Linked DNA regions of Medicago truncatula. The protein of the gene in region 1 interacts with the protein of each later gene in a pairwise test. Links are inferred from orthologs where the notes say so. Each region holds a gene or a part of one and is shown in the gene's direction. Other genes may lie near its edges. The genes, in order: protein ABSCISIC ACID-INSENSITIVE 5 and B3 domain-containing transcription factor ABI3.

Region 1 (16,019 bases):
AATGAAAGAATATTTGCATCAAAAATATAATATTCCCTTTCAAAATATATTTGCATCAAATCGTTCTTCATACGGTACAAAAATATACTTATTGTCCATAAATATATTTTCAGCACAAAATATATTTAAAACAAATCTTTTATATTTTTAGCAACAATATTCTTCATTCATCAAATTTTAAGTCATACTACAACAGTTACTATGAGTTATGGAAGGAGTATGCTTTTATGTTCCTTTTGTATTCTTTTGTTGAGAAAGGGAGTTGCGTGTGTGCATGCATATGAAATATATGCAAACCGAGCAAAATGGTACTCTAATCTAATAGTACAAGGTAAAGGGTAGAAATAGAGAAAATTACAATAAAACGGTGCAAATGAAAACAAAATCAAAATACAACAGGCACCGAAAATCGGGTTCAAGAGAGAAAGAAAGAATCCTCACAATTACCTCAACGAATTAGTTATCATCTTGTACAAAGTAAACGAAGACCGCTCAGATTTAGCTAAAAATCACTTCCAATAGGAAAAAATTTAATTTAATCCATCTTGCTCATCGTTCACCTATTTATTAGAGAAAATGAAAGTAAATATTGGACAGAACAGCAAAGCACAAATTAAGTAGAATAACACAAGACAAATTTGATTTGTATGAATGTGAATAATTTTTGGTGGATAAAATGTTATTTTGATATTTAAGACAATTTGTATGTGAGACAAAAAGTTGTGATGTGGTTTGGTGAAGAACTAGAATTTATGTTTTTGTCCTGTCATTTGCCTCCAATTTATCCTATCTCTAAAACTATTTTATAACTCAAACTCTCTACAGATTGAGTTACCATGTCATATCCTTAATTTTTGAACAAATCAAACACACCCAAAGATTCCTATCTATCAAAAGTTCATAGGTATAACGAACATATGAATGATTGGAAGAGTCGTTCACCCAAGACCACCTTTCTCCCTCAGGAGTCAAGGTTACACCACCAAGCTTCATCAATTTTTCCAACAAAAGTTGATCCCAAAAGAGGTCTCCTCCAAGAGAGCATTCAAATCCACCTCTTCCCCAAAACCTAAATTTCTTACCCAAACATCTAACCAAAATAAACTCAATTACCCATCTCGACCACTTTCACCACACCATCTGAGAACCAGTTAGAGGTAGGCCAAGGGCCATTAACTATGTTAGGACTTAGGAGAATGGAGAATTTGAGCGACAAGAATTGAATTCTATACTCCTCAGTCCTTGATAATCCCCGTAGCACACTATTTTATTTTTGTTCTTAAATATTTTGTCATCATATTGAACTATCAGTCTATGTAAAATAAAAATAATTTTATTAAATTATCTTCTAAGAGGTAACCAAACTGTTAATAATTTTTTTAACGTAAAAAATACTAACATATTTTTCTTATAATATGTCGGGGTCGGGACGGGGTTCAAACTCCGGACCTCATTTATTCACTTTTAAGTAGTAAATTTCTAGCTACAAGTCTAAAAAAAAGATATTCGACTTATTATCACGACAAAAGCATGGATAAAATATTACAATAATTAAAGCAAAATAACAAGTGTAAGAAAATCAGGGATCGCAATCAATATTTTTTTCTAAGAAGTAAAACAAGAAAACATTCTTTAAAAAAAATAACAAGAAAACATATATAGTTTTATGGACAAAAATGGATTAATGCCTAATTTTTACTATTTTTTCAAAATTAAAAAATTCATGAATATTTTTTATTTTTACTTATACGTTATTAAGAAGATAATAATCTATTAGTTAAACAAATAACCCCGTAATTGTTTTTTACGAGAAAATCCGTTAGCATTTTTCCATTTATAATTTATAATTTTAACATTTGGAAACACATGAAATGTGTTATTTTTTAGTTGAATTGGAAGTTATTTTATGTGCAATATGTGGGACGTGATTCTAAAATTTGATGGAATTAATCGAACCCTTAATCATCAGCTGATTTTGGTATAAGTTGACATCTATTTGTCTAAATTTAGATAATGTACTTACATTCCTCTTTATTTTTGGCTAAAGTTTCAATATCTTTTTGATGAAAATGCTAGAAGCTGCCCATGTTTAGCTTTTTTTAGTTCCTTTTTTCTGTTTTAAGTTTTAACATAAGCAAAAGTCATTGATGCCAATTAACAAGCGAATGCTTGCCTCAACAAAAAAATGCTATTCAAGAAAAAAAAAATAGCAAGCGAATATTCTTTTGTCTTTCTTTTTATCAAAAATAATAAAAGAAGGGACTAGGTTGTTAAAAAAAAAAGAAGCACTAGGCCAAGTCAAAAAAGAAAAAAGAAAGAAAGAAAAGGACTAGGCCCAAAATGAAACTAAACCATAAAACTATTTTCTAATATATTTTTTATTATATTCACAAGCTATTTGGAGTAAGATAAGAAAATGATTCTTCTAATTATTAAGTCAGAAGCACAAAGCAAATGCCTATACATAAGTTGGAAAAATAAATATTGAATTGTGATTTTTCTCACGAGTTTGTCCCTATTTATTACATATTTGTTTGTGCGGTGGAAGGAACGGGAATGCATTCCCCGCAGTGAAAATCTCTACGGTTTACTGCAGTGTCAACCCTAATACTTACTATTAAACACTTTATCTCTTCTAATTTTGCATTTAATTGTCTATGTTTTATTTTTTCAATGGTCATGATTTCACTAAACTCCTCAGTCACTTGAGATGATCCAGTCCAAAAAGGAACCACGAGGATATGGGTTTAATATAAACTACATTTTGTAGCTTTGATTTTTTCACCACAAAATTTGTCTCGAAACTTGAAATTTAAAAGTTTGGCCATATATCCAAACATATGTTTAATCGAATGCAATATATTAAGGGACAACTAGTTTCATACCGATAAAAGTCATTCAGGAGCACGTTTACATGGAGGAGGCGATTTGATTTGGTTCCAACTAGACCCAATAGAACGGAAAGAAGTCCCACATCATGCCATAAAGTTAAGAAATAGATTTATATAACTATTGAGGATTAGAGTAGAATTAGTTCGACGTTTCCGTTAAATATGTAAAAGTTATATAACTGTATATTATATTGGTTTGAACTTTTGATTAATACACCGATCAATCATATGCTTGAATACTAATTAATGGGCCTAGGCAGAAATCCCAATGTATTCTTTTGAACTTCTGTCTTAGTACATTTACATGCATATTATATGTATATGTATATGATGAATGATATGAAAAATCAAGACTGTTACCTTAAAACTAAAAAAGGAAATAAAGATATGAAAGTATCACAAGCTAAGCATAAGCATGTTGTAATTTATCGTAGAAAAAGAAGAAGCTTGTTGTGATTGAATAATGAACAAAATAAAGACAGACACAACGTCAAATATAACTAATTAACTAACAGAATTAATATACTAGTAACTAACAGCTAACAAGTTGTAACACCTCCCTCAAGATAGAATGTGGATATCCAACATGCCTAGCTTGTAATGCATATTAGAGATCCTATCTTATTTAATACATTACTTTTTTGATTCAGCAGTATTAGTGAGCTCAAGATTATTTAACTAAGGTTAATTAAGTTTTTGGTCCTTATAAACATATGCAGTTTTGTTTTTAGTCCCTATAAAAATAAATTACACTTTTTAGTCCTACAAAATTTTCTGTTAGTGTTTTTAGTCCCTGTTAAATTAAAATTTGTTTAATTATGCTTAAACTTCTTAATTTTTGAAAGATTTTTTACGTACATGTTTATAACATCTTAAGACACTTTTTTGTAAATTTTTTTTACTTTTTTTAACATGTAATGAACTAAATATGAATTTTTCTAAAAGGAAAATTTTCAAGATTATATTAATGAAAATTGGACCTAATAATAAAATTTTAAGTGACTTTTTTGCGGAGGAACTTTGTATAATATTCTAAGTAAGTATGTGAAAAATATGTTACAAATTTAAAAGTTTAAGCACAATTAAGCAAATTTTAATTTTACAATGACTAAAAGTATATGGTGGTCCATGTTAAACTGAAATTTGTTTAATTATACTTAACCTTTAATATTTTTAAATGATTTTTAACAAAAATGTTAAGAACATTATAATAATCTCTTTTATAAAAAATTAGAATTATTTAACATGTAATCGATAAAATATAATTTTTTTTTAAAACGCCAAAAATTTAATATAAAACTAAGAAAAATTTGGACCTAAAAATAAAATTTTTGAGCTAAATTATTGTGGCGGAACCTTTTATAATGTTTTAAACAAGTATGTAAAAAATCGTTAAAAAATTTAAAATTTTAAGCATAATTAAACAAATTTTAATTTAATAGGGACTAAAAATACTAACGGAAAATTTTGTAGGGACTAAAAACAAAACTGCAGATATTTATAGGGACCAAAAACTTAATTAACCCTTTAACAAATAGATATAGACCAGTTTGCCTCACAGTAAGTGCAGGGCGGCCGGTCCTTAAATTTTTTATGCTTTGGACGAAATAATAAAATTATGTCTTTTTAATCATTTTAATAGTTTTTTTCTTACATTTTTTGTTGCAAAAGATTCATTTATAATCAAAGTTTTTTAAAAATATATTTTCACTATAATTAATTAAACCGAATTAAAAAGAAATATATCTATATAATACTAACTATTAACTAAAATGTCCTCGTGAATTTAGCTCAGTTGATAAGGACAATGCATAATACATGCAAGGTCCGGGGTTCGAATCTCGACCACCAAAAAAAAAAAATACTAACTAAAATTAAAAAATTTAATGCCTCTAAAATAATGGTGCACGGGCTGCCGCCCCTTTCGCCCACCCTCAAGGCCACCCATGAGTAAGTGCTATATATGCACTCTGCTTATCTAGAAACGATATGGTTGTTTGCTTCCTATCATCAAATTCATGTGTGATTATTTCAATGTTCGTTTTAGACTTCTAACCATGTCATTTTTTTTTTAAACAAAAGTATCCATCTTCTTTTATCCGTTTATTTCTTATTCTTTAAATCTAAACTTCTAAATCTGAAATCCTTATAAACTCAAAATAATGAGTAATTCATCTCTAATATAACGTGTGAAAAATGAACATTTGATTGTTGTTCATCTCTAATTATGAAATAAAAATTATCAATCAAATAATCACAAAATATAACAAAAATTAGGCCAATAATAAAAGATAAACATAACTTAAAAGCTAACAACATAAACAAAATGTAATAGAAATGATCAGTTTAAGAAGAATTTCTTTTTGAAATATCAATTTGAAATAAGGTCAAACTTAAGGACCACAAACATAATTTTGTATAATTTTAAAATCTCTTATATTGACTTCTTTAGACAGAAAATAAATATGGTCGCTCAAACCTTAATTGGAGCAGCGAACTCATCCGCAGTGCTATCATTATATTTTGGATAATATTTATTTTAGTTCCTAAATGTATAAAGAGTAGTCATAATAGTCTTTTAATGTATCAAAATTTTAAATAGTTTCTTATGATGTATTTTGTTAATCGAAATAGACTTTAATGCTAAAATAATCGCTCAATACTCATAATAACTTTTTTCATATATAGACGAAAATGATAAAAATAAATAAATAAGTATTTATAAGGATTGATATGACAATAAGTAAGTATATGTATCAAAATTAACACAATATTTTAGGCTTAAACTCACTTTTTACCCCCTAAGTTTGCAAAAGTTGCAATTTTGGCACCCTATTAAAAAAAATGGCAAAAGCTACCCCCCATGTTTTCCCCCTTTTGCAAAATGCCAATTTTGACCGAGTCAACCATATGTGGCATGCCACATGTGTAAATTTTTAATTAAAAAATATTAAAATTGCCACGCGTGTATCTTTTGAATTAAAAAAAATCAAAAAAGAAAAAAAATGGAGAGGCACGTGAGTGAGAGAGTCTCTATGCTCTCTCTTCTTTCTTTTCCTCCCAATTCTTTCTTCCTCTTCCTTCTTTCCTAATTGCCGCCTCCCTCTTCCCTTTTTCCGGCCACTCTTTCCAGCCACCCAACGTGGTGCTTCCAACCATCCTTTGTCAAACAAAATACATAATATTTATTCACCCTTCCTTCTCTATCTCATCATAAGTTTATTTTTGGATTGGAGATATTTTGAGTTTTCAAACCACCACCTTCATTGTTAGATCTAGACCACCACAAAACGTTTTTCGATAAATTACCACAATAAAAGTACTCTCCTTCGTATTCCCTACAAAACCCACAAAAAATTATGCTTGGATGACATTTTTCCGACGACCACCACACCGGAAAACATCACCACCGCGCCGGAATTTAAATCTATTGTTTTCAGTTTGTTTTCCAGAAGCTACGCTTCTTATGACAGTTGCCGATGATGAACTGCTACATTTTTTCATGGATTGCTCCTCAATGTTGATAATTTTAATAATTTGCAAGTTTTGGTTAGGAAAGAAGGAAGAGGAAGAAAGAAGTGGGAGAATTTGTTTTGCAAAATGCATTCTTTCCAGCATTATGGACAAAAGAAACAACAATGGTGTTATGTTCATTCACTCACGTGCCCTCTCTTCTTAATTTTAATTTTTTATTTTTTTTATTTCTTTAATTATACATGTGGAATTTATGGATTAAAAAAAATAAAAAATAAAAAATAAAAAAAATACCCAAGTGGCATGCCACATATGGTTGACTCGGTCAAAATCGACGTTTTGCAAAAGAGGGAAAACATGGGGGGTTGTTTTTGCCATTTTTTTTAATAGGAGGCCAAAATTGCAACTTTTGCAAACTTAGGGGGCAAAAAGTGAGTTTAAGCCAATATTTTAATGTCTGAAACTTTTTTGACTAACGAAGTACACAATCATTAACTATTTTAAGTGGGGTGTCCGGGATTCGAACCCCGTCCCCTGCACATATTGTGCATTATTCCTTACCAAATGAGCTAAGCTCATGGGGATAGATGTATTCAATATTTTATTATTGATAAAATGAAGTGAAACATTTTTCCTCTCCGAGATAGTTTTGTTGTATCTTTTTTAACAAAAATATAACATGTAATAAAATATAGAGTTTAAAGTGTTTCAAAAAGGATTACATCGAAAACCAAAAATAAAATATAGGGTCCAAATAATACATAACAGTACTATTTTTATTTATTTAGAAAATAAAAATATAGAGATGATACGTGTTGTGCTAAAAATATGTCTGCAACCAAACAGGTTTGTAGAGACGACACTTGCCCTATACGTGGCAAATCATGCGATTTAACTCGGGAACTTGCCCTCTGAATTTTCTTCTGTCTATTGCGGCCTTTCATCCATTCTTTTTATTCATTTCTATGCCTTATTTTGTGGGGTACCCTTAGACGAAATGGACGAAGATAGTTACTAAATTTTTAGCTAATCGATCCTTATATATGCAGGTCTTTCGTTTGTGGAAAATCTTTTATATAATTTTAGCACACTCTTTGCTCACTATTCAGCCTCACTATCTTCTTAAGTAAGCTCTAAAACTTTTGACATTGAGACAAAAGGAGCTTAACATTACAACTTGCATTTCCAGGTATATTTCTCTCCAAAAGTTTGATTCAAAGGAAATAATGATCTCATCAATATACTATTTCTCTATATTTTGTTATATGCATGGAAACTTTGTGAACGTTTTTGGTTTGATTTCATTGGATTACCTATAATTTTGAACGTTAATTAGTGCAAGCATTTGAGTTTTTGAGTTTTGTAGTTTAGAGAATATGCTTTTATTTTATTTTATTTGGTAGATAGTTAAATATGCTATTTTGTTATTATAGATTAATTTATTCTATCTCTTCCTTCATTTGGCCACCAAATCATTTCCAAATGAGGCAACATTCTTTTCCTTTTGTGTACAAACATCAATCCTTTTCTACACCCACCAAATATTCCTCACAACTTAATTTATTATAGTTTTTCAACCGATCATCCAAAAACAACCCTTGTACTTTTAATGCATGTGAATAAAGAATCTTTTTATTCTCTAGAATAAAATTCAAGTTATAAGGTAGCTATAGGATCAAGTGCTTTTGAATTTGATAGTTCTTCTACTTAATGAAGAGTATAGAAAAATTAGTTGGAAGAGTAAATCAACTTTATGTGCCTAAGAATTGTCAACCTATAATTATATAAAATAAAATAAAAAACATTTTTAGCAGAAAAAATTATTTAATTTGATAAAATTTAACATTATCCCAAGTAAATTACGTTTTTTAAAATAATATGTTGTCATAAATAGATCTGAAGTGTGAAGTTTTCTTTGCACTGAAGCATTCTTTTTGTACCGAATAATAAAAGTAGTAGTTGCTTCGATATTCAATTATTCCATTGATAGAGCGATGGTGGTGCAGTTTCTGCTTACTTTTGAGCTGGTTCTGATCAAATATTGGATTTTCTATGTGAAATTCAGTGAACTCGAGAATCAAGACCAACAATTGATCATGTTTGGATAATATTAAATAATCTAAATTAGAATTAGAGGCATCTTGAAATGCACCCAAATAATAGAGGGAGTTGGAGGGGAGAAAAAAATAATCCAACTTATTGACACTGTTTTTTTTTTTTTTTTTTTTATATAAAAAGGAAAATGAATTGAGTGTGACATAGGTGTAGCCCCACCCCAAAATAATTTTACATATTTAAAACTCATAAAAAAAACTATTTATTTATACACTTTATAAAATTATTTTAAATTCGTATTGGTCCTCATGGCCAACAAAAGTTGGTCAAGTTGGTAAATAGTTGGCTCAGACTTTCTAAAGGGCGCGAGTTCAATTTTTTTTATTGTCAATGTAAGAATTTTGTTGACTTTATAAGGGCGTGAGTTCAATTTTTATTGTGTAAGAATTTTGTTGGTGGACAATTTATAAGTATTTTCTATGAACGCTCTTTCAACCTTGAGACTTGCTCTAATTTTGATGTCTTTTAGTTATAAAAAATAAATAAATCATCCCCAAAAAAGAAATTAAAATTTACAATTTCAACATTACTCAATACACCCTCAACAATTTCTCAGCATATTATAAGTTCTTATTAAATACATGACATAAGCAAATTGGCTGTATTGTAGTATTATTGTCATGAAGCAGTCCATTTTTTCATGCGTTGACAAAGGCATCTAACTTTTTTTTTTGAAAGAGACAAAGGAATCTAACATTTGTTAAGGTTCTTTGTTAACAAAAAGCTTATGTTGACTTATTTGTCGTTAACAAAGTTTTTTGTTTGATCAACTTTGCATTGATTTGAATTCTTGCATTCACAAATTATTGATGTGTTTTAAAAAGTCTTTTCATATTACATTGTATTATTAATCTAATAATTATGTTGTTAATGTGCTTTTTTGTTACGAGTGTTGACAAATATAATGTCTGGTGCAGTGCTGAAAATAAGACAAGCAGAAGAATATGGTGGTAAGAGAAGGTGAGATGAATTGGCAACAAGGGGAGGTAGAATCATTGCAAAGGGAAGGAGAAGAAGCGATCAGGAATGACGTCAACAATGTCATTTCTTCATCGCTCGGAAGGCAATCTTCATCCATATACTCACTCACCCTCGACGAGTTCCAACACAGCCTCTGTGATAGCGGCAAGAATTTCGGATCCATGAACATGGATGAGTTTCTAAGTAGTATTTGGAATGCAGAAGAAAACCAACAACAAGCTGCATCCAACAATAATAACAGCAACAACAATAACTTGTCTGCAGCTCAGAAAGGGATTAGCAAACAGGCAAGTCTTCCTCGCCAAAATTCGTTATCGATTCCTGCTCCTCTCTGCAGGAAAACTGTGGAACAAGTTTGGTCTGAGATACACAAAGAACAACAGAACCATCACAACATCAACAATGTTGCTCAGAATACCGAGTCTACCCCTCGACAGCCGACTTTTGGCGAGATGACATTGGAGGATTTCTTGGTTAAAGCAGGGGTAGTTAGGGAACAACAGTCTGGTATGCCGGTTGCCATAGCACCACCACCTACCGCAGCAGCAGTGTCATCTCACCGGCCGCAGCAGCAGCATTACGCCGCAGTGTATCCGAACAACAACTCTACAATGGCTCAGGCTGCTTCATTTGCTATTGGCGGCGGCGGGAATCTAAACGTTGTTGCGCCACCGTACCAAACGGTGGCACAGGGAGGTGGAGCAGTTGGAGAACCTTCGAGTTCAGGGTATGTTGGGAATGGTAAGACGAGAGATAGTATAGGTACGGGGTATCCTCCGCCGCCGCCAGCTATTTGTTACGGAGGGAGAGTGGTGAATGGAGCAGCGGGCGGTTATGGCGTGGCAGTGGCACAAACTATGGGAATGGGCGGACCTGTTAGTCCGGTTTCATCGGATGGGATTGGAAACGAAAACTCGGGTGGTCAATTTGGGATTGATATGAATGGTTTACGAGGAAGAAAGAGGATGGTTGATGGTCCTGTTGAAAGGGTGGTGGAGAGAAGGCAGAGGAGGATGATCAAGAATAGAGAGTCAGCAGCAAGATCTAGAGCCAGAAAACAGGTTCCTGAAATTTTAACCAATCATATTATACTTAATCTAAAATTATGTATCCACAAATGTATGAATTATTTGAAATTCTTATGTATATATGATCAAGATAATACAGCATTATATTTATATGCTATTGAAGGTAACATTAGTTTAAGAAGAATTGGTAATATGTCAATTTTTTATCAACTCTTTACATCCAAATTAGAAATAGTATGTTTAATCTAGTTTAATATTTGCCATTATATTGTTAATGTGACTCCTTTGTGACACATTTTTCTTTGTTGCTTTTGCAGGCCTATACAGTTGAATTAGAAGCAGAACTGAATCAATTAAGAGAAGAGAATTCTCAACTGAAACAGGCACTGGTACTGCCAAACAACATGAACTATTATAAGAATATTTGATAGTTTTTCTTTAGTGATTCAATTATACTGACAAGGATCATGCTTCTTTTATTCTTCAGGCTGAACTCGAGAGGAGAAGAAGACAACAGGTAACCAATGATGGTCTAAACTATAATTAGCCATAGAAAATTTAGAGACATTAAAACTCCTTTTATTTTGAATCAAATGGATTGAAATCAAATCTAAATTACTGTCTTATGATTATCTCATGCAGTGTTCAGAGGAAACAAACGTGAGAGTTCAAACGAAAGCTCAGAAAGCAAAAGAGAAACTGAGAGGCTTAAGAAGGAATACAAGTTGTCATCTGTGAAGAAAACATCACATGGTAGAGAGTGAAATCCTTGATGCATAAGTGCATCTTCTTGTGTAGTTAAAACTGAGAAAAGTGCACATGATGCAGATCAAGAACCAAGAAGAATATACTAAAGTCAAAACCAGTCAAAAAGAAAGGAAAAAAAAACAAAGGAATGGTGGTGTGGATTTTGTTGGAGAGCAAATTTTTCCACTGTTTGCAAGGATTGAATCATCAAATATGGATGACTCTTTTCAAATGATATAACTAGCTACTCTAATTTGTACATTATATAGTAGTTAATGTTTGAAGTTACCTTGCTATGTGTGTGGATTATTTTTGTTTAGAGTTACAATATAGTACCAGCTATGAATGGCATTCATGCAACTGAAGTAGAGATGATTTTCTTAATTAATTGCCAGAATTATTCTTATTTTTAAAATGAAGTACCAGCCATGAATGGTATGTTGGATAATGTGTTTTAGTGCAACTGAGTTCACATTGGAAAGATGAATACCTTTTTTCATAAAATATACTTTATTTTAGCCTTAAAAAAAAAAAAACTACCATATCTTCATCATTTTGAAGCAATGGTGTATGTAAACGTGTATGTGTCTTGTGTAAAATGCTAAAAACAAGCGCATGCACAAGGTCAGTGACAATAGACCATAGTAGAGTCCAAAGTAAGGTGGCATTTAGGGTGGGTAGGAGGAATACTTTCCTACCATGAAAAAGTGTCACTTTAAACCATTGATATAGTATTATTATAAGTGAATGGTCCAAATTCAGTCAAACTCATAGCTGGCAACCTGTTGAAAACTTTTTGTAAATAAGCCTATTACAAAAATTCCAACCCCACAAATAATACTTTTTTGTTATAATTATTTTGGGTTGCATGTATTTGAATCTAGGCTTCCAATCTTTTTTATGTAGTCACTGCTCACTACTGGGCTTCCAAATAAAATTAATCACTGCTTTCTTTTCTTTTTGACCTGCAATTTTTTTAATCACTATCATCATAAGAAATGAATAACGGGGATAAAGGAATACAATACACCACAGGGACTGTAAAAAACCAAAGAATGAAGAAAACAGCAACAAAACAGAACCTTCAATATGCCAGAATCGGAACCAGATAGCCAAAAGCAAAAAATTAATCGCAACTTAATATCAATTGCATCAAAACAGATCACATTCTATTAAGCAGAGCTTTTCAAGAAATCCAAAGTTTATAAAGGTGCGAAGAATATGAGATAAATGGGGAGGAGATGATTGAACCTAGGAAATAAAATTACAACACATTTTGCTACTGGATTGTGCAAGATGAAACCAAGATCTACCATTCATGATGACTTTGTGAGGCTTTTATTGGGGGAGAACAGTGGATGATTCTATGTTACAGAAACGAAAGAAATTAAGGGAGCTGACGTAAAAAAAAAGGAAATAAGGGGTATAATGGTCAAATTAACAAACAAATAAATGGGGGTGCATAACAGAAGCATAAGACAACCGGGAGGTGTAAAACCAAGGCATTAAAATAAATTAATTGATTTTTTTTTTTTTTAAGTCCCACCTGCATAACTGCCACCTGTCTAGCAAATTGAGACTTTTCTATGGTGGGAAAGAATTCCTCCTACCCACCCTAAATGCCACCCCAAAGTAAATTTATTTTTCCTCTATAACATAAAATCGATATGAATATTTTACTTATTTCATGTGCACATATTATTTAAGGTATATACCTTTCTCGGCTTTTGGTAAAGATCAGGTAAAGATCAAGTGTAATATGTATGCACATGTTATCATGCCCCTCTTTGTATTCACAAACATTTTTCACGAGTAAAAGACCAGGAAAGGAAAATGTGGAATAAACACAGCAAACATGTGCAATGCAGTACTAGCCTATCTATAATAGACTCACAAGTCACAGTGGATTGGCTTACGAGGATTGACCTAGTTAGTAATTTAGTTTGTGCATAAATGGTTCTGGAGTGATAAACTGATCGAGTGAATTGATTTTGTAAATTGATTCTGATTTTAAGTTTATTGAAGATAAAGTGATTTGTGTTTAGATATATTCATGTAATAATGAGTTGAACTTCAAATTTATGAGTAAAAATCAATTATAGAATCAGATGCTACAAATTTCAACTTCAAATAGAATAAATTCTGGAAGCAAAATCAACTATACTCCAAAACAATTAAACATGTCAATTAATTGGCACCTTTGGAAGAGAAACCAAATACACACTTATAGCGAGTGAGTTTAAGTTTCAATGTCGATGGACGTCATTGATAGATAAAACGTAAGTTAATACTCCATAAGCGTTTTTTGAACCTTTTAAGACTTTCTTTTTGTCCCTGGGTGAGTCTCCAAAACTCATCATAACTGAACTTTTTCTTCAATATTTACTTAAAATGGATTCAATCCTCATTCCTCCCCCTAAACTTTTTTAGCATTAAATTCCTCTATTATAAAGGTTATCACATATATGTTATTGGTATAGTGAAGCAGTAAAAAGCAACGTGAATATCAACAGCTCATAAGCCCCAGCCCCCCTTTTTCTTTGACACGGAATAAACTATAAAATGAAGGATTGTGGAAGGATTTTAAAAAATGACGAACACCGCAATTTAGACTGCAACATCATAATTTTGTCTCCACAATCGTAAAGTGACTGCAATTAATGTCGAAGCAAGGTCGAATCAAACTATTTGACTATCTATGATCATCCACAATATTTAGCATAGCTACTTTGATGTCTCCACAATTGTAAATCAAATGCAATTAAGGTTGAACCAAACTGTTTGATTAAGATCCTCCACAATATTTAGGACCACAACGCGACCCCAATTTAAATCCTTAGGTTGCAATGGTGTTATATTGGTATTTCGAAATATAGATCGAGGGGTAGAAGTTAAAGATAAACAACAACAACAACAACGAAACAAAAAAACAGAGATCTCTACATTACAAAGAATCTCTTACTTTACACCTGAGCAATGCTTGTGCTACTTGAGGAAAACGACACAAGAAAATCATGGAACATGAAAGTACCTTCTTGTCTGTCTCGCCGGATGAGATCAAACCAATACTTTGACGGCAATGAATGCATGTGGCTGAACCTCCTACTCATATTCAAACTCAAACTTTATATGACTATATTTTCTTCCTAGTTGAATCATGAATTCAGTGAATTTGGTAAAAGTTTGACACTCTTCATGTGTTTTGATCTCAGCAACATAGCCATAAATGACCATTTTTTTTAGATTAGGACATCCTTCCAAAAGTCCAGCTACCCAAACTGAGAAAAGATCACTGATTGTAGTCCATCCAAGTTCTAACACAACCACATTCATCAGAAAAGACAACCCTTGCAAGCCATAATGAAGCACTCCATCTTTCAAATCATAACTTAAGGAAAGGTGCGTCAATCTAGGAAAACAAACAGAAATGGTCTCTATATCAACAACTTCATCCTCGTCGTCAAAAACAACACTCCACAGCCGAAGCTTTTTTAACTTTGACGCTTTTGAGATCATATTATAAAAATTTTGCCACATAAATATGAAGTTACACACATCTACGATCTCAAGGTTTTCTGTATTATCTCCAATGTCAAGATGGATGACACTCACATCATCAAGCTTCAATACTTTCAATGTCCCCTTATTGATCAATTCAAAAGCATCAAAGGAACAATCTTTCAGATGCAGATTCTCGAGCATATCCGCCACTAATATGAGTTTATCAAAACTATATGACTCGACAAAGAAATCCTTCAAAGAAGAGCTGCTAAGCTCTATTGAAGCCTCTGAATCTGACATAGCGATTTCTGGACAAACGATAGACAAGGTTTCAAGTTTCGGACAGGCAGAAAGAAGAAGACTCAAATCCAACGCTGAGATGCTAACAAAACTCAACGACAGCGACTTTAAGCAAGGAAATTTATGATACTTCGGCTCAACACCCGAGATAGGATTGCTAGCCAGGGTCAAAACTTCCAATGTTTTCCTGCTGCATTTCTCAATGATATTGAAATTAGGGGATGTCCTCACATTATAACGTAGCTCGCGCAATGAATCCCTCGTATACATAAGCCAGGCAATGACAGGGGTAACAGAAAACTCATGCTCGTCGTCCATGAAAATTGTTAAGCACTGCAATCCTTTGGTTTGAAAAAGTGTACAAGTGATGAGCATTTCCAAGTGACTAGAGCAAATTTCGCGATATAGGGGCCAGTCAGATGTATTGAATGAAAGAGTTTGGAGGTGAGTCTGCCAAGCTTCTCTCCATTTCTTGCAAGTTAAGGATGCAATCAGAACATCCCTAGCAGACCCAAGATGGGATAATATGATACCAACCACTTCAACAGGAAGATCCTCCATAGCATAAAATAATTTAACAGAACCTGTATTTCAATCAAAAACAGTATAATTCATCAAAACATGACAAAAACAAATTAAAATAAACTCCAGCTTACGCAGGGTCCGGGATAGTGTAAAGACTTTTCACACTTTCAATTAATCATAACGATTCAATCGTTATAACAGTTCGATCATCAAAAAAGTTTGACTTTCATCATATTCTAACTTAAAAGTCATGATGATTTGTGATTGAATGATGGTGAATTTTTATTTTTTTTAATACTAACAGTGCTTCAAAATTTTCTCAATTAAAAAATAAAAAATTGGAACTTTATCATTGAAATAGCATGAGAATGAGATTATACAAAGTAATAGAAAGTGATAGTATGATACCAATCACTTCAACATGAAGGGTCTCCAATCCATTGCATAATAACAAAAG
Region 2 (16,688 bases), about 21 Mb from region 1:
TGCAGTTCAATATAAATATTACTGGCGGAATAATCCCTCAGTAATGCTTTGTCAAAACTACCTCTCCATTACTGAGGGAAAATTCCGCCAGTAACATTACTGACGCTCATATTACTGAGGGATTCATATTCGCCAGTAATATGTACTACTGAGGGATTTTTGGCGTTACTGAGGGATTATTTCCGCCAGTAAAAACCAGATTTCTTGTAGTGCGCCTCCTTCTTCCAAGGACAATTTATTCCAAATTAATGAAAATGGAGAGGAATGTATTGAATTAAAGAGATATATTTGTATCCATATGATTATAAAAAAAACATTCGTTATCTTCTTCACAGCAACCAATTCATTCAGATTAATTTCTCAATTTCCAAAACAATTAAATCAATAACTCAGGTAATTGAAAAAATAGTTAATTATCCATGAAAACAATAGTTAATTAAAATACTCTTATTACGTTTTATTGTTTTATGATGTTGAAAAAATGAAAAACCTTTAAATTGAGATGCTGACAGATGTATAACCAAAACCTTTAATTTGAGGTGCTGCCAATTGCATAAAATAAAAAATCAAGAATTATCTTTGTTGGAGATATATAGAAATAATTTTGTTATTGAGATTATAGAAGAAGGATCAATAACCCGTAGAACTAGTTTGCTTAACGGAGAGATGAGGCTTTAGGGAAGAAGGTGAATGAGATTGATGAGAGAGAATAAAATAAATAGTCTTAAAAATGAGATATAAAATACTGAATGCCCACATTAAAATTTTGATGAATAATTATTGACCTTTAGATTAAGAGAAATTAACGCTTAAGATTTGGTGTCAACGAATCCTGTCTCATATATATATATATATATATATATATATATATATATGTTATTTTAGTTTATTAGTTATTCAACAACTTAATTTAGGTGTAAAGAATTTAAGAAAAAATTTAAGACCCTTTATTTTTGAAATAATTATTCCCTTAGTTTTAGTTGTTTTAATTATTCTTATTTAGTATATTTGATCAATTTGCTATGACTATATAATAGAATAACCTTCTACCTCTTTATATAACTTATTTTATTTTATTTTAGACAAATATACTAGTTAGATTTCTACTTAAGTGTTAATAGCACACTTTTTTTTTGCACATGTTTCATTTTATCATCCTTGTAACCACATCTTCTATTATTTTGTATTGTACGTGGTTATTTTTGTGCTGTCAATGCCTATTTTTACTCAAGTATATATTCTACTTATTTGACCATGAGTGTCCCCTTTTGTTGCTGAGTCAAAACACTACTCTCTTGTTAGTCACGTTGCTGTTGTTTACTTATTAGTATGCCTTCCTAAAGATAAGGAATCCACCTCCCATGGTTCAACTACCTCCTATAGTTATGCTATGAGTGGCTCAATTAAAATAAACTTAGTTTTCTTTTCTTTATTTTTCTGATTTTTGTTCAAGAGGGGCGGTTTTTCATATATCTAGCTATAATAATTTTCCTAGGGATAACATACAATTAGGAAGAGACCAATAACGTTTCCTACTATCTGCTACACAAACCACAAATACACACTTATCTCTCTAAAAGATCCTTATGATTCCAAACATTATTTATTCTTTATTTCTATTTAAAACCAAGACACCAATTTTCTTATTGTCACACGCCTTTGTCTTCTTCTGTGACAATTACACTAAATAAACCCATCCATTAACCCTGCCTTAATCAAAACAAACTTGTTCTCTTGGTAACTTCTTGTGAGCCACATTTCTCCCTACCATCTTCACAAGTCTACAAACATATTCTCCTACTCTTTACTCGGCCTACACATTTCATCCGAATTTTTTGTGTCCATTAATCCAATCATAACATTTCATCTTGTCTAATTTTGTGTAAGTTATTTTAAACATGTCCTTTTATTTTATTCTCTTCTCACTTTACTAAATTATTTCCAAATCATAAGCCTTTTTCTTTTTCCATAAGAGGTGGCCGTAGAATTTCAATTACTCCTTCGTTCACCATTCGTTCGGGCTAATTCTGGGAGTAAAAGAAATTGTGTCTGCATCGTAGCTGCAAGTTTGAGGCGGCTTAGAGTCGTGATTTAGAAAGAAAAATGCATGAGGTACGAACTTTTTTCCCATACGTCCATACTAAGTACTAGGATGATGTTATGAATTAGAGGTAGAGATTCTTGTCGGTTGAAAAGAAGACAAAAAAACTAAAATATGAATTTATATGGTAAAATTTAACCTTTTATAAAAGTTATTAGTTTAATTATATTTTATATGATGTGTGCATAAAATGTTATGTAGAATGACATTTATTTTATTTTGATATGCATATATGTTTTTTTTGTGGTATTGGGAAAGAAGTGTTGGATTTTGTTGATAAACTAAAGAAATGAAAATATAGTAATATGAGTTTTATGAAAATATTTCATTTTGGTTCATGTGGATGATGATGTGTTAATATCTGATTGTGTTTGCTTATGAGGTTGCCTTAGTGGCGGGTATTTTATTTGACTATGCATTTGCCTTAGTGGTGGGTTAATAATATATTTCTGTGTGGTGCCTTAGTGGCGGGAGAATATCATATTGCATTGTTGTGCCTAAGTGGCTGGATTTAGTCTTCATTGTTCATGATCATGCATTAGCATATGCATCTGTGTGGTGCCTGTGTGGCGAGTTATTTCTGTGTGGTGCCTGTGTGGCGGGTTATTTCCGGATCATGTAGAATCTAAAAGCATGCAATTTACACATAATTGCATTGCATTGGGTCTGTTATACATTTGTGTGTTGATAAGTGATTAAACTATTATAAAGCAAAAGAAATTGTGTGAACCTTATTTAAAGCATATAACTTGAATGTATTTTCCTTATTTCTTTTTAATTGAGAAGTTTTGATATATACTATCTATTTTATGACATTGTTTCTTGTGCTTTGAGTATGAACCAATTTGGATAAGGAAATTGACCCTTACACTAACATTTTAGGTACCAAAGAAGACATGTGTATGCTTTGGTGTTTTGCTTGAAGCGCGTGCGGGGAAGAAATTGGGTTTTAATTGAATTCTAATTTTAGTAATAATTTTGAAGGATATTTAGTTTGAGAAGTTTAATTAAATTATGTTAAGAATTTTGTATAGATTTTGCTAAGAATTATTATTAATGATAAAAAAAAAAAAAAATGGTAGTAATTTTCGAAAATGAGAATGATTTAGGCGTAATGTCTTGGATCAAAATCTGGGGCGTTACACATGTGTATCAACCTCTGATTAATCCTAAAAGTAACTAAAGGTCTTCGATGCGGTGATTGAACCATCAGTCAACACTGAGGCGATTACTTCTGCAAAAGAAGCTTCACTAAAGTTCGATATTGCTCAAAGCCTAAGTCAATGTGATTATTTGTTGTCACATTCTGTTAAGCCAACGAGTCATGACATCTTTAACACTATGATCAACTTGCTTGGGTCTAGGGCCTTTGATTTGGTCCACGATGATACATTCTTTGTTCGGTAAATTCTAAGATTTGATATTGTCTATTTTGGTCTTATTTTCATAGTAGTTTTCTGATTTTGTGTTCGGTAAAAGTCCTTGATTTCTTGACTAATCTTTGGTGGTTTTTGGTTTTGTTGGGTTTTGGCCTAGTCTATCCATGTGTATATCAGGTTCAGGTCCTTCATGACTTTGATTTTCTTGGGCCTCTATTAAACAAAAATTATGGGTCCATTTTAGTGCATATCCTCTAGACCAACTCTGATACATCGTAAACTTGTAACTTAATACAACTTCCATCCTTTAGCAATGCATCATTGAACATTTTCACGACCTTCCATACAAACCAGCACTAGCAAGCATAAATTGTTCCTAAAACTTAAATTAACATTAAAAATAAAGGTTTCTAAAACAACAAAAGACTTAGTGTATATTAAGGATAAAGTAGGTTTTGCTTTCACTCAAAGATCACATATAATGGGAGATATATGAATGTAATAAATGGTATATCATCCGCTTATCATGTACTTAATTTGGCGTTCTTAAACCATCAAGGGTTATGGGCTCACCGAAGACATTAGGGAGAAGTAACCGTTGAAGAGAGTTAGTGACCAAGATGTGGACTTGGCTATTTTGTTCACTATCTTAAAATCAAGTAATCAGTCACATTGGCTTCGTAGTTTGTAGTTACCAACAATTTGAAAAAGAAAATCTAACATGACCTAGTCGCTTTCTCTTTCTTTTATGGAATTCAAACCAACCAATTTGCCAAGTTCAAAATTCTTCTTTATATATATTTCTCCTAACATAATCTTAGTAGTCAAGTTTAAACAAGAAAATCCAGGTGGAGATAAACTTTTATAAATATTACTACATGCCGACACACTAGTACAAATGATAGATTTTGTCATCAATGAGTTTTTGTCTTTTTTTTGTTAATATAAAAAGGATAACAATGTTTATATTTTATAACTTAAAGATTAAATCAGAAGAAAAAAAAAAAGATAAGTGAGAAAAGTGTTATTGAAATTAAGTTAAGGGACAAATTATGTATTTTTGCTTTTTTTAGTAACCATCCAAGTGTTGTATAATATTTTAAAAATTTCAACGCTAAAGTTAAAATCGTGAGTTTATTTAATCGTGAATCTTTTGTAATCAATGATGTTTTTAATTTTGTCTTGGATATGATAGTTTTTTTTTTAAGAATTGTCAAGTACTGTTGATACGTTTTTGTTAGATAAATGAATTGATAAAATTCATTGGAAACTCATACATATAAGTGTAGAATTTGAAGTTCAAACCTCGATCACAACGTTTGACCTAGCAATTTGAAGAAAAAAAAAGCAATGAGATAAAATTTGGTAAAAAGAAGAAGAATGCATAGCGAACAAAAGTAAAGAGCATAAAACTAATTTGTGCTAATAGTGCATCACCATGAAACTAGGACAAAACTTGTGAAAAAGATGTAATCAATTATAACTTGCCAACAAAAAAAAAAATTGCATACCACTTTTGATTTTAAAATAATCAAATATGATACAATAGTGGAAGAATTGGAATTTAATCTTAATCGAATTAATACTATTTTTTTTTCTTCCTAAAGAGCAATCTTTTAGAGAGCTTTGAGATCTCTTATTATCTTGTACATTGCTCCATAGTGGAAGGGATAAATGAAATTGGATGGTTGTTGATTCCTCAAATGTGTTCTCAGTTAAATCGTTGTATATGGTCCTATGTGGTAAAATTCTTCCTCCTACCACTTTGAACACGACAAATAGGAGGGGGTTGAGAGGAATTCATACTGATTTTTTCCCACAAAAGATATAAAAAATTTCATGGCAATTAATTTTAAGGAGGCTTTCTACTCGCGGTAACTTAACTAAGATAAGGGTGTTGTTTGAATGAGAAGCATAGACTTGTGTGTTGTGCCCGCAGATCCTTGTGATAGTAGCATTGAATTGTAATCAATGATGTTTTTTGGTTTTACATGGACTAAAACTAAAATGAAGTAAATTTGCAGGGATCAAAACCATATTTTAGTCTGTTTTAATTTTGTTTTGGATATGATATAATTTTTTTTAAGAATTGTCAAGTATTGTTGACACTTTTTTTTGGATATGATATATATTTTTTTAAGAATTGTCAAGTATTGTTGACATTTTCTACGGTAGATAAACAAACCGATAATAGTCATTAGATATTCACACATATAAGTGTAGAATTTAAGGTTCAAACTTCGATCACGATATTCAACATAACAATTTCAGAATTTATTTATCTATTGAGTTAGGATTTGTCGATAAATATTGGTGATATTTAATTGAATCGTTCTTTCCACTAAATGATGTTTGATTATCATTTTTTGGTTTGGTTCATTTTATGGATGTGGTTTTTAGGCGCGTGAACTCCGCGCGTATGTTTCGGTCTCAGTATATTTGTTGATGTTTTTATTGATGAATTTGAAGGTATTCAGTTTTTCTTTTCTTTTTGACTTATCTTTTTTGTATTGTTGATATATTCTTGATATGTCTTGTGTTTTAAATAATTTTACTATGATGTTTTTTAGGCAAAGAATTAGAGTGCGAAAAATCACATGATAATAAAGAAATCTCAATTATCTTGGCACTAAAAAATCATACTTGTAAAAAAAATTAATAAAAACAAATTGGGGTCTTGGGTCAAAACTCAAATAGACAACAAGGGTGCATAAAAATATAATTTTATGCCTCGTTAAAAATCTTTAAGAAAAATAAATGAGATAAAACTTGATGAAGATAAGAAGAATGCAAAGCAAACAAAAGTAAAGAGCGTAAAATTGATTTGTGCTAATAATGTATCACCATGAAACTATGATAAAACTTGTGAGTGACGAAGATGTAATCAATCAATTACAGTTTGCCAACACACAAAAAAAATTGCATAGCTCTTTTGATTTTAAAATACTCAAATATGATATGATAAATTGAAGAGTTGTAATTAAATCTTAATGGAATTAAGAATTTTTTTTTGGCGTGAAGAGCAATCTTATAGAGGGCTTTGAGATCTCTTATTTTGCACATTGCTCCATATTAGTAGGGATAAATGAAATTGGGTGGTTGAATCTCAAATGTGTTCTCCATTAAATTGTTGTATGTGACCTATGTGGTAAAATTCTTCCTCCTACCGCTTTAAACATGACATATATGAGTCGGTTGAGAGGAATTCAGACTAGTTTTGCACCACAAAAGATACAAAAAAAAAATCTTAACAATTAATTTTAAGTATATGCTTTCTACTTGTGGTAACTTAACTAAGATAGGAGTGTTTTAAAATGAGTAACATCGACTTGTGTGGTGTCCGCGAATCCTAGTGTCGATACCCAAGTGATCATAGCTAAATATATGACAAGTTGAAATCGATCTATCAATCTGAACATAACAAACACACAAAAAAAACTCAGATTAAGCGGTAAAGTTTTAGAACTCGAGAGTTTACCTCAACTCATTTTCTTTAAGTAAACTCGACTCGAGAACTCGTATGAGTTTAGCTAAAATTAAAATTATGTAGAATTTATTATATGCATGACATATATAAGCTAATATAATATTGTAAATACGTCGATAGTGCAAAATATGACTTAATTACAAAGACAAGTTATACCAAACTACCATAATAAAACGTTATACTCAACTTAGCATCAAAATACAAAAATTAACGCACAAAATCATAAGTTTCATAAGTCTCTAAGTTTAAGTCATTCATAAAACTATCCAAAAAAGCAAGTTTCACAAGTTCCTAAAGTTGTTAATAAAACTATCTAAAAAAATAAACTAGTTAATTTTTTCAAAAGGTCAACAAACACCACCACTGCAATCCTAACCGGCGTCGAAATCTGAATTTCCATCGTCGGAATCACAACCCTAACTAGTATGTGCTTCCCTGTTCATGGTTTGAGGACTTAGAGAAGAAAGAAAAAGAAACGTTTCATCTCGGGAACAACGTGTTACTGTAAAGTTAACTATTCAGTAAACGCTTCAGTCTTTGTGCTTGTAGGATTGAAATTGGGTTTGGAAAAAATGGCCCAAAAAAAAAAGATCGATTTTTTGGTTAGATGTAAACTCGTAAATTTCGGTCGAGTTTACACGAGTTTACCGAGTGTTAACTCGATCAAACTCATCAAACCTTCTAATTTTACCAAAATTCGAGTTTACCTTCAAGTTAACACGATTTTGATATCTAAAAGTGTAAACTCGATAAACTCAAAGAGTTAACACTCAATTGCGGAACATTTCTAGGCTGCATTAAGTTGACAAAATTACACAAAAAAGAAAAATCTAATATGTTAATAACACATATTTAGATAAAAGAAAAACACATGCAAATGGATAATTCCAAATAAAAAAATGTGACAGTTGTAACAAATGATAGAAATAATACTTTTTTGGTAGAAACAAGTAAGACATTAATTTATTTAACAAAAAGAATACAAAATGAAAACATTAATCAAAGGTCACCTAAAAATTAAATTTTTCTTTGTGGAGCAGAAGACCTTACTTTCTAATAAAGACTGTGGCACCGTTTAGTACCACCACTGAGAATGTAACGAATGTCTATAGCACAAATTCCGGAGTAACCTCATTTGACAAAACTAGCGGCAAGAAATTTTGTTTTTTGATTCCAAAACCAAAACTACCTTTTCTCTCAAAAAACCACTTATTCTCTCTCTCTTACATAACCTTTTGTTTTTGTGTGTGTGTGAAACTACCTAAAAACCATTTTGAACTTATCTAAGAAAGAGAAAATAAAATCAATTAACAAAAGCAAAACAATTATGTAACTTCCTAGAACAAACCAGAATACACACATGGGTGGGTTTTTTTTTTCTCCAAAAAAGACTAAGTTTTCAATCAGTTTAAGCATGTGGGTTTTCTTTCTCTGAAAAATTTGATTGGTTTTCTGGGTTTGTGAACAAAGAATCTTAATCTTTTCTTTCTGCTTCACTCTGTTATTTGCTCTTTCTAAAGTTTTGATTTTAGTCCTTTCAATTTCTTCATCCAAGTTCTTTGTGTTCCTTTCAAAACCCTAGGTTGTTTGTGTATGATTGTTTATTTAGGATGATAATGACCCAAATGAGAATAAAAAATCAATAAAAAACCCACTTTTTGGAATAGTGAAAGTCGCTTTCTTTGAAGGTAAGAGAGGTTTTCATTATTAAATATATATTATATATATTATCCAAGTTGTTGATAATGATATCCTCTCTCTTGGTAAGTGTTTTTGTTGAGAATCAGATGTTTTCTGTTGCATAATCCATTCATAAGATTTGAAAGAATCTTATCTTCTTTTGCTTCCTTAAACAGATCTTTTCCTTTTGTACTTGACAAGTACATAAACAAAATTATCCATTTTTTTCTCTCTTTGTACTTTCTCTCTCCTCAAACAGTACCATATTTCTTGCACCATATCTGAAAAAAATTACACCAGAAGAATACTTGAACAAAAGGGTAATCAAACTTCAAAGTTTTTCAAGTTTGAGAGAAGTTTTTTAAAGATAAAGTTAGATCTTGTTATGGAGTGTGGTTTAGATCTGCATGCAAAGTTGGTGAATGAAACAGAACAAGTTGGTTTTGGAAATTTAGCAGAAGAAAATTGGCTTAATAATACTACAAATGATCAAGATGGTGATCTTTTAGGTATGAATATGAATGATGATGCATCTATGTTCTATGCTGATTTTCCTCCTTTACCTGATTTTCCATGCATGTCATCATCATCCTCATCTTCATCATCTTCAACACCATTGAAAACCATTGCATGTACTTCAACTACAACAACTACTACCTCTTCTTCTTCCTCAGCTTCTTCTTCATCTGCAGCTTCTTGGGCTGTTTTGAAATCAGATGTTGAAGTAGATCATCAAGGTTATCAAAAACATGGTCATCCATTAGATTATCATCATGGTCATCCTCCAACAACTTTGTCATCAACTGCTTCTATGGAGATTTCTCAACAACAGCAACAAGATCTTGGTGTTTCTAACAATGATGTTGTTGTTGGTGGTGGTGATTGCATGGATGATGTTAACATTATGGATACTTTTGGTTACATGGAGCTTTTAGAAGCTAATGAATTTTTTGACCCTGCTTCGATTTTTCAAAATGAAGATGAAAACCCTTTAGTGGATTTCACTCAAGAGCAACAAGTTCAAGTGCAAGACGGATATCAACAACATCAACAAGTTCCGATGATAGTGCATGATGATCGGGAAAATAAACCGCAACAAGTGAATATCGAGGAGAATAACGACGATGTTTTTGTGTGTGACGGTGTAAATGGGGAAGAGAGTATTCAAGGAGATGAATTAGGTGCATGTGATGGTGTAAGTGATGAAATGAGTATGGTTTTCTTGGAGTGGCTTAAATCGAACAAAGACAGTGTCTCCGCGAATGATTTGAGGAATGTGAAGCTTAAGAAATCAACGATTGAAAGTGCTGCTAGGAGATTAGGTGGTGGAAAAGAAGGGATGAAACAATTGTTGAAGCTCATTCTTGAATGGGTTCAAACTAGTCATCTTCATAACAAAAGACTCAAAGAAAACGCCAACACGAACACAATAATACCTTCAAATATTGTTCCTCAACAACATCATTTTCAAGATCCGTGTCAGAACCAAAACACAGCAAACACATTTGCACCTGAATCGAACGCATGTTTCAACCAAACATCATGGCTAGATCAAACACCTCTCATTGTACCTCCACAACAATTTTCACAACCAATGGTTGGAGTTGGAGTTGGATTTGTTGCTGATCCTTACACAAATGGTTCTGTTTCAAATAACATTAACCCTTACCAACCTGCTGTTACTAATGAATATCACATGTTGGAATCAAATCATTCATGGGGTGCTTCTCAATTCAATGTTGCACCAAACTACAATCAATCATTTGTGGAAAATAACAACAATGTGCTACAACCTCATGGTATGAATTTTGGAGGTTATGGAAATCAATATAATTCTTATCAGTTGTTTCCTGGTCCTGGTGATAGGTTGATGAGGTTAGGTCCTTCTGCTACAAAAGAAGCTAGAAAGAAGAGGATGGCTCGGCAACGGCGGTTTATGTCTCATCATAGGCATCATAATATTAACCATCATCAGAATATTCAAGGTTCTGATCCACTTGCGAGATTAGGTAGTGGTGATAGTTGCACCAATGTTGCTGCTGGTGGTTCTCATGCAAATCCAGCGAACTGGATGTATTGGCAGACTATGACCGGTGGGACAGCAGCCTCCTTGGCACCTGTTGTTCCGGCTGAGCCGACGCAGCCTCCAGTGGACCGTGACCGCCCCACCATGCAGACACAGAGTTCTCACCAGGGTCGAAGTGCATCCGATAGGAGACAGGTTTGTGGACTTCAGCTTTATATTATTGTTAGATTATATGTTTTGGTTGTTTATATGATCTACGATGTGTGATTATTAGAAATGCATGTAAATGCAAAATCATTTGTTATTGAACTTGAATAAGTTTTAAATTATGGTCAACAACCGTAATTGTGGCTGCAATATAATGGTTTTAAAGGTCTCTGCAACGGCGTAGCAACCACAGTTGTGGTGGTATTTATCCATTTGTCTGCAGATACCGCAATATAATGGTTTGCAACATTATTGTAGCTTATGCAGATATCGCAATACAATGGTTTGCAACATTACTATAACTTCAACTAACAGCCATTATCCGATCACTCAATTATAACTGTCAAATTATAAAAAATGTGCGACTTTAAACACAACTATCTTGCTTTATGAATAATGTGTTTGATGTATTTGATTGATAGGGTTGGAAGCCAGAAAAGAACTTGAGGTTCCTTCTACAAAAGGTTTTGAAGCAAAGTGATGTCGGAAGTCTGGGGAGAATTGTTTTGCCAAAAGTAATTATTGATTTTCTATTTTTCAATTATTCATTACATTTTATGAGAAAATAAAATATTGATTCATAGTTTATTGCAAAAACATCAGAAAGAGGCAGAAACACATTTGCCAGAATTGGAGGCAAGAGATGGAATTTCGATTACAATGGAAGACATTGGAACTTCTCGAGTTTGGAATATGCGTTATAGGTAAGCAAATTTTCATGGACAAATTTAACTTCATCATTTTGTTTTTTATGTTTATAAATTATGATGATGATACATTGGGACTAAAATTTTATCTTTTGATTATTTCTTCTTGGAGCATCAGATATTGGCCTAACAACAAAAGCAGGATGTATTTGCTGGAGAACACCGGTGAGTTATTCTTCTTATTCATCTTTGGTGCTTTGTTTGTTTTTGTTTATTTTTCATAATGTATTCATTTTCATTTTGTAGGTGATTTTGTGAAAGCTAATGGACTCCAAGAAGGAGATTTCATAGTGATATATTCTGATGTGAAGTGTGGCAAATTTGTAAGAGCCTTCTCTTATAATGTTTTCTTTTACTTAATGTTCATGGATTTGGATTTCCTAGTTCCCGGCGTAATTGAATCGAGATCAAACCAAAGTTTTAAAAAACCAGACTAAACTCATCCCGTTCAACTCATTGAATTGTGAATCCTCGGGTTAAACCGTGGTTGGTTCAAACCGATTTTCATATTTTACATTCTTTTTAATATTCTTCACATTTTTTTATTTAACATTTTTCATCTCGTTCAACCGCTGTTGAATCATTTGAACCAATTAACCATGCTCGAGGTCTCACCAAAACTCGAGTCGTTTGTTCTCAATCCAACCGTCTAAAATACAACAGTAAACTTTATTATGAGATATATTTTTCTTTTAAAATTAAAAAGTTGAGAATTAATTGGTGGGAATATAATTTGTGATACAGATGATAAGGGGAGTTAAAGTGAGGCAACAAGGAACAAAACCAGAGGCAAAAAAAGCAGGAAAATCACAGAAAAACCAGCATGGGAATAATGCTGCAAATTTAGCTGGAACTGCAGTGGATAATAATGGCACGCCATCTTCACCAAAGAGAAAAAAATGAAAAAGATATCAATTAATTAATATATATGTAAGATATAGTAAGATGCATAATAATATATATTTAAATATAGTAGAGTAGAGTCAATAAAAGAGACTTTGAGCTGAACATGCAAAGCTTATAAGGATCTGTAGTATTATTTGTTTGGAATTCATTTGCAAATTGTTGTGTGAAAATGATGTATGTGGATATGTGTATTTAAACTTTGTAAGGGTTGTACTTGAGCTGTCTCCATTTGTAACTTTGATTTTGAAGTTCATAGAAAATCATGGTGCAGATGAAACAATAAAGAATATTTTCGTGTATTGATCTTGAGATTTTTTTATATATAAAATTGTTAACAAATTGCATATTTTATTAATTTGTCGAGAGAAAAATCTTATAATTTATTTTTGAGTAATTCTGTAGGCAATTGTAAAAGATACCTTACAATAGATGTAAGAATTTTATATATATTAGTGGACACTTCCGATCATTTTATTGGGTTAATGTGTATAAATTATGAATATTAGTTTTTATATAAACAAATCACACATCTTTTTTCAATAAAGTAATCTGTAAAAAATTCATATCCAAAAAAATTTATAACAAAATGATGAAATTTTAAAATGACATTTTAAGATAAGTTAAATAAGTTTATATTCGAACAAAATTTTTATTTGAAACCCTTTCTAAAAAATTATAGTAAAAAACTATAAAAATCTATTTTTAAAAAACTATTAAAAAACAAGTCCTATGTACTAATTAAATTAAGAAGATCAAACACTCTAAATTTCTAAAAATGTTATTCTAAATATTTCATCATAACATTATAATTTTATTTGAATCATAAATTTTTTAAAAATCTTTAAAATGGTTCCTTTTTCTTCCATTTTCCGTTTACACATAAATTGTCATTTGCAATATTATAGAAAAAGCATAAAATAAAAGCACCAGTTGAATAAATTGTGTCGTGAATTTGAATAAAATCGCACCAATGCTATGCTGAGTGTAGGAAAAATTGTAGCAACCAATCACCAAAGTGAATTAATGAACATCACTTACTAAGTTCGATTCAATTTGACCTATACATATGTGGAAAATAGCAGTTCTTCAATTTATTATCAACGAGTTTCATATAAATAGATACATAAATTTAAGAGAAATTAGGCTTCAAAAACCTTAATTCATTAAAATAAAACTCAATATCCAGCCTAAGGACCGACTAATCTGAATTGTATGATCTCATAATTCCCTTGCGAGGACAACATTTAAAGCCATCAAAATTGACATAGGGAGAAATCAAACACGAGACCTTAAGAAGTGCATACTCCAAGGTTCCAAACCAACACCATTAGGCTAACCCTATTGAGGTTCTACCATTTTCTGGCCTTCCCTTGAACAAATGACACTATGATTTCATTCATCAAGGTGTTCATAATGCTTCCCAACCCTAGACTATAATCCAAAAGTACTCAATTCTCAGCTTTTGATCTTCTTAAAATTCTCTCTTTTGATCAACTCTAGTTTGACTCACTTTCATCTCTCTCTAAGACCGGAGAAACACCTCATATATAAGCATTTCAAACTTGGCGAACAAGAAAGCTGAAGCAGTCTATTGTTGTGAATTGTTCCTCTTATTGTCGTTGATTGTTCTTATTTGAATGAGATTTAACTAATTTTTAATTGATAAATGAAAAATTGTTTAAATGAATGGGTAAAAGTGAAAAGAAAAAATTCAACCTAAAAAGTGTATTACCTTTATATATCGATACGAAGATGAAAAAAATAATAAAATTGTTTAAATGTAAGGGTAAAATTAAAAAGCAAAAGTTTAATCTAAAAAGATGTATTTTAGTATTTCATTTAATATTTGTTTATTTTTTTGTCCACTTAATATTTGTTGTAATACCGCAAAAAAGACAATCATAAGTTGAAGAAGGTTGCATGTAGCAAGAAATAATAATGATAAACAGATAGAAAAGTCATATTTTTTAATAGAAAAAAATTAGGATATCAAAAAGGTGTATAACGTGTACGTGACGTAAAGAAGTAGAGTATTGTTGGATTGTTGATGTCGACAAGGTAATGAAGGAGCCGTATATGTAAGTACAATCCTCAGTCATACATATACTATTTGACTTCGTCTATTTTATTTATATAACAAACAAGGGAATGGAAGGGAAGATCAATATCATCCATTACGTTTCCCACATCATTTTATCTATAACTATAGTCTATATATCAAAAGAATATGAGATAATTTGGACTATATTTTTAAATAATTTTTATGTTTTATCCACATGATCAAATTTCTATTCTTCCTTTCTACACACTAAATTTTCTGCTTATGAAGATTGACTTTGCTTCTTTAACAATAAAAAACCATCCTAGGTTATAGTTATTTCTTTCAGCATGTTGAAATAAGATAACATATTACTTTTGTTACTCTAAATACTTTATACCGTATGATAAAAGCGATAAAAAAAAATGTGTCTTATAGGTACTTCTTACATCTTATAGTTCAATTCCTCTTCATTCAATACATCATTTTCCTTATTCTCTTTTGAAGATTTATGGTCTTCCACCTCTTGTTTAGCCTACAGACAAGAAAAAATCTTTTCATAAACAGAAAGGATCATAAACAACATATAAATAAAACATATATGTGTATGCCACACCTTTTTTTTTCTTCTGTTTTTTCTTCTTGGACTTCTTTTGAGATGATTGCTTAAACTCATAGGTATTAGAGTTTTGTCTACACAGTCTATTGGATACCAAAATTCAACAATCACATGAATACTTACGATAAAGAAACAGAAAACGGCAAATCATTAAGTAAATCGTATATTGTACCTGAATAGATCATCGATGACATATAATTGAAACACCGCACAACCCATCTTTCTCAGACGCATTTCATCATCATTTAGAATATGTGTATCGAACTCCTCTCTTATCATTATAGGTTTGTACTTTAAATGAGAAGCGTTCTTAAGTACGATCAGGGTATTAGTATTTAAAAAAATAACTTTATTAGTATTTAAAAAAATACTTACGATCAACATATAAACAAAAGAAGATGAATCTATCTGAATAGACTCAAATGAAATAGTTGGTATTAGTATTAGTAATTCTTTTATATAAAAAAATAACTTTATTTAAAAACCTACCCGGAAAATGTGTTCGATCAGGGTGACGGGGGTGAATTGTCGCGATTGTCAAAAGTGTATCAATATTAAATGTTGGATTGTTGTGCGGTTGAGCTTGTAAAGAAAAACCCAATGACTTTTCCTGCTGCAAAACTTGCATAACCCTGCATTAGCATATCAATTTTAATTACTCATGTTACTTAAATATCTTTACGACTATCTATTCACTTTTTAATATATAAAATAGAAAATTATGAACGCTTCATATACCATCTATATTCTCCGACTTCAACGAGTAACGATGGTAGGTTTGAAAGAGAAGTCGGGGGCTTGATTGAGAATATTATTTTCTTATATAATTCTGTCACGTCCTTATCAGATTCAATCACATTCAAATCTTCCACAATATTCCGAATTGTATGGCGAATTCTAGACTTGGACCTGCGCACTGAGATGAGAGAGAGAGAGGAAAATAAGTATGAGTATTTTCAGTAGGATCTTGTTGCTACACTTAATCCATCTAAAGACAAGCTTACCACTTTCTTCCTCCTCCTCCATCTTTCTTTGGAAAAATTGTGTGAAACAAACACTACATGTATTAATGAAACAAAATTGTGTGAACCGGTTTGCAGTACTTTGGCGTATTGGTACACCAAAATTTGTGAAGAAATTCACCGAAACAAGCGTAACAAGAGTACCGGAGAGAAATAAGGAAGGGCTATGTTGCAGTGTATGTTGGAGAGAAAATGACACCGTTTGTATCCCAATATCATACTTGAAAACAGGCATCTAGAGAATTTGTTTCCTATTGATTAAGCATCAAAAAGTTCTATTAACCATAACATAACAAGCGTCTGAAGCACAATTAACCTAAATCCTAATTTGATCAAACCTCTAATTAAGAATTATAAACTTAACCTAAACAAGCTATAAATCAATTGAGTAAACTATCAATAAAATTGCACAAAACGAAATTATATATGATCAATTGCGTCATAAGATAAACCGAATTGCACAAGAATTAACAAGAAATAAACCACAAAACGAAAAATGACATTAAAATAGAACCT

The links.
Region 2: the proteins of protein ABSCISIC ACID-INSENSITIVE 5 (region 1) and B3 domain-containing transcription factor ABI3 interact in a two-hybrid assay, tested with the Arabidopsis thaliana proteins (2 studies listed by BioGRID). The link is inferred for Medicago truncatula from reciprocal best matches to the Arabidopsis thaliana genes ABI5 and ABI3.

Annotation. Positions count from the first base shown.
Region 1 is NC_053048.1:49,353,038-49,369,056, forward strand, and holds protein ABSCISIC ACID-INSENSITIVE 5, read left to right. Parts: upstream 1-7,287; 5' UTR 7,288-7,554; intron 7,555-9,397; 5' UTR 9,398-9,424; coding exon 9,425-10,522; intron 10,523-10,806; coding exon 10,807-10,878; intron 10,879-10,976; coding exon 10,977-11,006; intron 11,007-11,131; coding exon 11,132-11,227; 3' UTR 11,228-11,684; downstream 11,685-16,019. Other genes in the region: F-box/LRR-repeat protein At1g67190, read right to left, coding at 14,339-15,598. UniProt on the Arabidopsis thaliana protein: Participates in ABA-regulated gene expression during seed development and subsequent vegetative stage by acting as the major mediator of ABA repression of growth.
Region 2 is NC_053048.1:27,917,241-27,933,928, reverse strand, and holds B3 domain-containing transcription factor ABI3, read left to right. Parts: upstream 1-8,690; 5' UTR 8,691-9,032; coding exon 9,033-10,868; intron 10,869-11,302; coding exon 11,303-11,395; intron 11,396-11,483; coding exon 11,484-11,584; intron 11,585-11,699; coding exon 11,700-11,752; intron 11,753-11,833; coding exon 11,834-11,910; intron 11,911-12,331; coding exon 12,332-12,490; 3' UTR 12,491-12,796; downstream 12,797-16,688. UniProt on the Arabidopsis thaliana protein: Participates in abscisic acid-regulated gene expression during seed development. Regulates the transcription of SGR1 and SGR2 that are involved in leaf and embryo degreening.